Linked DNA regions of Ovis aries. Each later gene encodes a partner of the first gene's protein in a complex. Links are inferred from orthologs where the notes say so. Each region holds a gene or a part of one and is shown in the gene's direction. Other genes may lie near its edges. The genes, in order: RASA1 and ARHGAP35.

The links.
Region 2: the proteins of RASA1 (region 1) and ARHGAP35 are in contact, whole or in part, in a crystal structure (PDB 8DGQ), measured with the Homo sapiens proteins. The link is inferred for Ovis aries from reciprocal best matches to the Homo sapiens genes RASA1 and ARHGAP35. Residues at the interface, in NP_002881.1 of Homo sapiens: Arg188, Arg207, Ser209, Arg211, Val217, Asn228, His229, Phe230, Arg231, Ile241, Gly242, Tyr256, Leu262, Leu263, Lys264, Lys358, Ser379, Asp380, Asn381, Ser387, Gln397, Arg398, Phe399, Lys400, Met411, Gly412, Gly413, Arg414, His425, Tyr426; in NP_004482.4 of Homo sapiens: Ser1085, Asp1086, Tyr1087, Ala1088, Glu1089, Pro1090, Met1091, Asp1092, Ala1093, Val1094, Val1095, Arg1098, Glu1100, Asn1103, Ile1104, Tyr1105, Ser1106, Val1107, Pro1108, His1109.

What each region holds. Positions count from the first base shown.
Region 1 is NC_056058.1:84,551,945-84,556,383, forward strand, and holds the start of RASA1 (ras GTPase-activating protein 1), read left to right. Parts: upstream 1-1,356; 5' UTR 1,357-1,551; coding exon 1,552-2,093; intron 2,094-4,439. UniProt on the Homo sapiens protein: Inhibitory regulator of the Ras-cyclic AMP pathway. Stimulates the GTPase of normal but not oncogenic Ras p21; this stimulation may be further increased in the presence of NCK1.
Region 2 is NC_056067.1:53,759,656-53,763,460, forward strand, and holds part of ARHGAP35 (rho GTPase-activating protein 35), read left to right. Parts: coding exon 1-1,692; coding exon of another isoform or gene 1,693-1,785; exon of another isoform or gene 1,786-2,151; intron 2,152-3,805.

The sequences.
Region 1 (4,439 bases):
TATCCATTTCGTTCTGAGTCTTCAGTTCAGCTGCTCAGTCGTGTCTGACTCTTTGCGACCCCCATGAATCGCAGCACGCCAGGCCTCCCTGTCTATCACCAACTACGGAGTTAACCCAAACTCTTGTCCATCGAGCCGGTGATGCCATCCAGCCATCTCATCCTCTGTCGTCTCCTTCTCCTCTTGCCCCCAATCCCTCCCAGCATCAGGGTCTTTTCCAATGAGTGAACTCTTCGCATGAGTCTTAGAATCTATTAAAAAAATTTTCATTTTATTTTTTTTAGCTTGAAATAGTCATATAGTCATTTATATAATGAAAAGAGAACGGAAACACTAACAGGACTCTCTCGGACCTCCAGGCAGGTACCCCTCCAACTGCCACCCCCGCGGGCCTCGGCCGTCGGGTTTCTGCGCCGCCGGCCACGGCGTCCGCTCTACCGGTCGGGAAGCGAGGAACTGGCTTTGCCTCATCTCCCCTTCTCTTTCCCTCCCTCTTCAAGAAACCCTCCTCGTCGCTCACAGGTTTTTACCCCGCTGAGCGGCCGCGTGCCGGGGACCCACTCCTCCCCTCCGCCGCCTAACCCGTCTCTCAGACAAAGCCCAGTCAGGCAGGCGCGCGCCACCGGCCACACCGACCGGCGAGGCGGCCGCGCCGCCACGCGCTTCCCCACTGGCTCGGGACTGCTAGCTTGGCCGCGCCTCCACGCGCTCCCCTCGGCTCGGGACAGCGAGCGCTGCCGCACACCGCGCGTCCCCGCCGCTTCCTTCCCTCCAGAGTCTTCCTTTCCCTCCTCCAGACCCAGCACGCCACACCCCCACCCCAACCCACCGCCTCCGCGCGGGGAGTGCGCCTGCGCAGAAGCTGCCCTCTCGCCCCTCCTTCCCCGCCCTTCCTTCCCTCCGCCCCTCCTCCCGCGCCCCGCCTTCCTTTCTCTCGTCGATGTCACTTAGCGCTCCAGGTTGGGAGCCTTTAGGTTGATTTCCCCGCTACCCCGCCCCCCTTCCTCTTTTTCTCCCCACCCCTCCCGCCTCAGCCCGGTGGAGGATGAGGCGGCCGCAGTGGCCCCAGCCCCTGCAGCGGCACCGGCGGTGGTTGCGGTGGGGGTGGCCGGAACTGGGGTGGTGAAGAAGCGGTGGCGGCGGCGGCGGCTGAGGGAGCAGCAGCCGCCTCAAGCCGCTTTCCCCCCCGCCTCGCTTCCCTTCCTCTTTAGTGCAGCCAGGAAGTTTTTCGCTTCTGTGCATGTGTGTGTGTGTGTGAGTGTGCGCGCGCGCGCGAGTGTGGGTGTGGAAGGTGAAGGTTTGGGCGGCGTTTGTGCAGGCGTTGGGGTTTTTTGCCCACTTCTCTTCCCGTAACCCGGGGAGCTCCCGAACCTGGGCTGTGGCCCGGAGAGGGGGCGCGGCGGCAGCGGGCTCTCTCCTTTTGTTGTTGTTTCCTCCGCCCGGGGAGCTGAAGAGGGGACGCGCCTGGGTGGGGCGGCTCGGAGCCCGGGCCTGGTGGCCCCTGGGGGCTCCCGGGCGGGCAGGGTAGGGCCGCGTAAAGCGGGCTTCAACATGATGGCGGCCGAGGCCGGCGGTGAGGAGGGCGGCCCGGTCACCGCCGGGGCAGCGGGAGGCGGCGCGGCCGCGGCCTCGGGTGCCTACCCGGCGGTGTGTCGGGTGAAGATCCCCGCGGCCCTGCCCGTGGCCGCCGCCGCCCCCTTTCCTGGGCTGGCGGAGGCCGGCGTGGCCGCGACTCTGGGTGGCGGAGCCGCTCTGGGGTCAGGCTTCCTGGGACCTGGGTCTGTGGCGGGGGCCCCGGGGGGAGCCGGACTGTCAGCCGGAGGCGCTGCCGCCGGCGTGGCTGGTGTCGCCGCCGCCGCCGCCGCCGCCGCCGCCGGACCCGGCGGGGAGATGGCTGAAGCCAAAGGGACCACTTCGTTGCCCACTGAGACCTTCGGGGCCGGCGGCGGATTCCCTCCTCTGCCGCCGCCTCCTCCTCAGTTGCCCCCTTTGGGCGCTGGCCTGGGAACAGTGGACGAAGGTGACTCTCTGGATGGACCAGAATACGAGGAGGAAGAGGTGGCCATCCCGCTGACCGCTCCTCCGACTAACCAGTAAGTCAAGACCGGCGTTTTGGGGGAAGCTGACTCCTTGGAAAGAAATAGGAAAAACAGGTCTAGTTCTTTTCAGCTGTGACTCGTAGTGCTTTCAGCTGTGACTCGTGTTTTCAGCTGTGACTCGTTCAGAAAAAGTTCTGAAGCTCAAGGTTCCGTGCGTACGGATTTAATTTGATCACTCATCCTCCCTACAGGCACACTCCCTGGCGTCTTGGTATATTTATTGCTCCTCTGGGAAGATGTAAAGTTTTCAAGATGGGAAGCATGGGAAAATGTGTATCCAGGGAGAACCGGATATGGTTCTGTCCCTTGCAGATTGAGGTGGCGTCCTGGGATTCAGCTGAGTTTGCAGCTACCGAGGCAGTCGTAGTCTGTATTAACCTGGTTGCATTCCCTGTTGAAGCTAGACAATTAGTGAGAAGCTTTGAATATTTGAGTGAATATCGTGGTAGTATTGTTTGAAACGTGCCTTGGTCGGATTGCTTTGTTTTTGTTGCCCTGCAATTCCCGGCTTCTGGCTGTTGAAAGCACTGCGATGCAGAAAAGACTTTGGATTGCTTTTGAGAACGTGGGTCAGCGAGAAAGGAAAGTTCTGTTAATTACTGGTGTGGTTAAGGGCCTGTACTCCCACAGTATTTAACATGTGCAGTAGAATTCCCGTTTACTAATATGCTAGTATAATTCTTCTGTAAGTTGAAACTTTGTAAGTACAGTATTGAACTAGAATTAATATTGTGCTTCCCTTCACCTTTTGTTGGTGGCAAATACAGTATTCTATTTGAAAATTAATTTTGACAGTCTTCTGCAGAATATACAGGACAAATGACTTACATATATATATAGTACTTTCTCCCTTGTTCTCTTCATAAGTGAACTTAGGTTTGGATCTTGAGAGGAACATGTTGATGGGCAGTAGGCAAAACTTGTTTTATAGATCCCTCATATCTGTCTTAATTGTCCTTTAGAATTTTGACAACCTTGGTGAGGTATCAGAGGAAGAAAGATTTGATTCCTGTGTTGACCATCACTCTAGACAGTTGAAGGTGTTTTTTGTGTCTGTTTTTTTTTTTTCTTTTCTTTTTTTGGATAAGCTTCTTTAGAAAATTTAGAAAGGACTTAACAAATTAGGGCATTTTTGACTTAAGGCTACATACATCTTTTGATGGAAAAGTAAAGTTAATCTTATGTCAGCCATGGGACAGGGGAGTTTTATTCTTTTTATATTGTTCATCATGAGTTCAATTTTTTGTCTAATTTAATTTCTGCTTATCATTTCTTATCTACATATTGCAGACTTCTCTGAAGGTGTTCTGAAAGTATTAAAAATTCAAAATTTACAGCTCTGTTTACACATCTTCAAGCCTTTTTCAAAACTACTTAAGTATTAAGGGCCCTGTGGTTATGATAAAGTTCAGCTTTTCATAATGAAAGAATATAGTCTTATGTTAGTTCTTAACTAAATTGAATAAGGCATATTTAGTGTGTTGCAGTTCTAAATTTTTTTAAAAATAGAATTTATTTGTTAGAGCAGTTTTAGGTTCACCGTAGAAGTGAACAGAAAACACAGTGTTCCAATTAAATTTTTAATAAATATAAATGAGAACCTAAGAAAAATTATTCTTGTGAGAAATCCATTGTAAGATTTTCATCATTTGTGTTTGGGAATAAAAATATTATTTGTGTAACTCTGTATATGAGAATTGTTCATGTTCTAAAAAGTATCCTCCATTTCACTATAGTTTTTAAAAGTTGCCAACGAGAAGTACAAATTTCCCTCTCTTCTTTATCTTAGATATCAACCCAGACTTACTGGAGGCAATACAGTGTAGGGGTTAAGGTGCAAAATCTGAAGTTAGACAAGATTTGGGTTGGAATCCTGACTCTGCTACTTACTAGCTGTATGATCTTGCAAAGGTCAGGTTCCCCATCTGTAAAATGGGGTAATAATGCTATCGCCCTCATATGATACTTTTTAAGGTTAATGAGAAATCCCTGAATGTATTCAGCACAGTAACTCATACGTAGTAAGTGTTCAGTAAATTGGCTCAAATAGTACATAATTTTATCATTAAATTGCTTGTCAATTCTATAGGAACTCCCATGCTAATAGCTATTTGAGAGAATGTTTTGAATTCCACGGGTCTGTCTACCATGATTAATTATATCAAAATTTTTATTTTAACTTTATAAAGGCTTTCAGCAGGTGAAGCAGGTTTAGAGATGGAATTCAAATGTTTTCTCTAAATTCCTAATTTTAAATAAACGGAAAAGCCTTAGAGACTTAGTTAAATAATGTCAAACCTTTCATTAAAGTATTGAAGAATTTTTTTTGGCTAAATTAAT
Region 2 (3,805 bases), on another chromosome or scaffold:
TACAATTCAAAGGAGTCTCTGTCGTACGTGGTAGAGAGTATAGAGAAGAGCAGAGAGTCCACACTTGGCCGGCGAGATAATCACTTAGCCCATCTCCCCCTGACTTTAATTTTAGTTAACAAAAGAGGAGACACCAGTGGAGAGACCCTGCACAGCTTAATACAGCAGGGTCAGCAGATTGCTAGCAAACTTCAGTGTGTCTTTCTCGACCCTGCTTCCGCTGGCATCGGTTATGGGCGCAACATCAACGAGAAGCAGATCAGTCAGGTTTTGAAAGGTCTCCTGGACTCCAAGCGTAACTTAAACCTGGTCAGTTCCACCGCTAGCATCAAAGACCTGGCTGACGTCGACCTGCGGATTGTCATGTGTCTGATGTGTGGGGATCCTTTTAGTGCAGACGACATACTCTTTCCCGTCCTTCAGTCCCAGACCTGTAAGTCTTCCCACTGTGGAAGCAACAACTCTGTTTTACTTGAACTCCCAATCGGACTACACAAGAAGCGCATCGAACTGTCTATCCTTTCATACCATTCCTCATTTAGCATCCGAAAAAGCCGATTGGTCCATGGGTACATTGTTTTTTACTCAGCCAAACGTAAGGCCTCCTTGGCTATGTTACGTGCCTTTCTCTGTGAAGTGCAGGATATTATCCCCATTCAGCTGGTTGCACTCACTGACGGCGCTGTAGATGTCCTGGATAATGACTTAAGTCGGGAGCAGCTGACCGAGGGGGAGGAGATAGCTCAAGAAATTGACGGGAGGTTCACGAGTATCCCCTGTAGCCAACCCCAGCATAAACTTGAGATCTTCCACCCCTTTTTTAAAGATGTGGTGGACAAAAAGAACATCATTGAGGCTACGCATATGTACGACAATGCTGCTGAGGCCTGCAGCACCACCGAAGAGGTGTTTAACTCCCCCCGGGCAGGCTCCCCACTCTGCAACTCCAACCTGCAGGACTCAGAGGAGGACATCGAGACCCCGTCGTACAGCGTGTTTCGAGAAGACACACCGCTGCCGCCTCTGTCCAAAGACCATTCCAAGCTCTCTATGGAACTGGAGGGAAATGATGGGCTGTCCTTCATCATGAGCAACTTTGAGAGTAAACTGAACAACAAGGTACCTCCGCCAGTCAAACCAAAGCCTCCTGTCCATTTTGAAATCACCAAGGGGGATCTGTCTTACCTAGACCAGGGCCATAGAGATGGACAGAGGAAGTCCGTCTCGTCGAGCACCTGGCTACCTCCAGATGGGTTCGATCCTTCTGATTATGCTGAACCGATGGACGCTGTGGTCAAGCCAAGGAACGAAGAAGAAAACATATACTCGGTGCCCCATGACAGCACACAGGGCAAGATCATCACCATTCGGAACATCAACAAAGCCCAGTCCAACGGCAGTGGGAATGGTTCCGACAGCGAGATGGACACCAGCTCCTTGGAGCGGGGCCGCAAGGTATCCATCGTGAGCAAGCCAGTGCTGTACAGGACGAGATGCAGCCGGCTGGGGAGGTTTGCCAGTTACCGAACCAGCTTCAGCGTGGGGAGTGATGACGAGCTTGGGCCCATCCGAAAGAAAGAGGAGGATCAGGCATCCCAGGGTTATAAAGGAGACAACGCCGTCATTCCATATGAGACCGACGAAGACCCGAGGAGGAGGAATATTCTTCGCAGTCTAAGAAGAAACACTAAGGTAAGACATGACTTTAGAGCTCTTGGAGTGACTTGCACAGTGTCTTGGGGAGAGTTCATTGATGATGACAAAAGATTTTCAAGGACAGCTTAGCCTGGTTAAAAACCGCTCTGTGTGTGTTTCCTCCTTGACTTGCCTTAAAAAGTAAGCAGTGTTGAAATGATACGAATGAACTTACGAAACAGAGACAGATGCAGGGAAGGAGCTCACGGTTGGAGAATAGAAGGGGTATTTAGGGAGCTTGGGATCTACACATGCACACAGCTCTGTTTAACACGGATCACTAACAAGGATTCCGGTGCAGCGCGTGGAACTCTGCTTAAGGTTGCGTGGCGTCCTGGATGGAAGGGGAGTTTGGGGAAGAATGGGTGCATGTGTATATGCGGCTGAGTTTCTTCCTCGTTCACCTGAAAGTATCGCAGCGTTGCTAACTGGCTATGTCCCAATACAAAATAAAAAGTTGGAAAAAAGTAAGTAAAGAGTGTCTCGGAAAGCTACTACTGGTAGCTCTCAAGTGGTAAGGACTTTTTGGAGAGAGAACCTGAGAAGTCTGTCCAAAACAGTAGTTAGGTAATTACTGAAATGGGCAGATCACGTAGAACTTGTCAGTATCCGGACAAGCAGCCAAGCCGGTGACAACCGGCCTTTCTTCACTGAAACACCGGAATCCAGCATCACGGTCCTTAGTCTTTGACTGAGGAAGGAACATTTCATCCATGCATCTCTTAAATACTCCTTTTCCCCCTTGATGATCTGTAAAGGTTGCTGCATTTTAGGTAGGGAAAAATTGGATGATTATTTTATTTGTGCATGTAAATCATTGAAAGGTCTTCAGTTACATAAATGAAAAATAATCTTGCCTCTGCAGGTTATAAACCTGTCTCATGTTTGTAAAATCAAAGTGCCCTCCAGCTCTTCAAGTGAGTTGCTACTACTTGCAGATTTGATTCAGGGACCACAGGTGGGGCGGAAAGGGGGAAAGGTTGACCTGCTGCCGGATGCAGAGGAAACAGCCCCCAGCGCAGCGGCAGGCGGAAGTGCAGTGTAGAGGGCGGTGCGCTCTGTCCTCGTGGGCTTGACATTTCCCAACTTTATTTGTCCCTCCAGTTAGAGTAGGGGAAACAGCCTTTATTTCTCAGAGGAGGCATGTCAGTGAGACACCACAACAGAACTCTTACACACAGGCCCTCCGCCAGCACTGTGTATGCAGGGGTCCCAGTGTCCAGGCTGCCAGCTGGTACCTCCCGTCAGATCTGCGGCGACATTGGATTAGAAATAAAGTGCACCCTAACGGTAATGTGCGTGAATCATCTGGAAACCATCTCCACCTCCTTCCCAGTCCGTGGAAAAATTATCTTACACAAAATCAGTCCCTGGTGCCAAAAAGGTTGGGGACCGCTGGTGTACAGGATGGTATCTCTTCATTGAAAGCTTTTGCTCCTCTCCCTGCTGTGAAATGGCAGAGAACAAAGTCACGTATCTGAAAGTGTTTCAGGGAGCTTTGGAAGAAAGGTTGTCCCAAACTTTCATCATTGCAAGATAGACCAAACCAGAGGGCTCTTGAGTCCAGGCTGTTTTGAGAGCTGACAGTTCTGATGTAGAATGCTGTCTGGTGGCCAGTTCTGCAGCTCATATTGGCTGAGAGGGCCCTTGGAGACGGAGGAGCGTGGTGCCGTGGCCCTCACAGGGAAAGCCTGTCCACACCCTGCCTGTTCCCGGAGAGCGCACAGCCTGCTCCTCTGTCGCCCTGGCCAGAGCTTCCAGAGCCCTCTGGCCTGTTGAGCGTCAGAGGGCCAGGGCAGTAGCGTTGTGCGTTCTGTTCCCCTCCCGTTCTGCGCTGAAAGTTGATAAATAACGTGGACATTCTTCTGTGTGCTCTCCCCATGCTTTGCTTTTACTTTTGCCAACCTTCATCTGCCATCAGTTTTTTGTTCTCTAAAAGCTGGTAGTGGGCAGGCCAGTGGAAAGCAGTTGTTATTTCAGAAGACAGAAAGTAGCCTGAGCAGCCTGCCAGTGTTTCCCCGGAGCTCTCCTGTGTGATGATCCTGGAATCCAAACATTTTGAACGCTGTGACTTTCCTCTCCTCCTCCCGGGGAAGACTGTTGCCAGCAC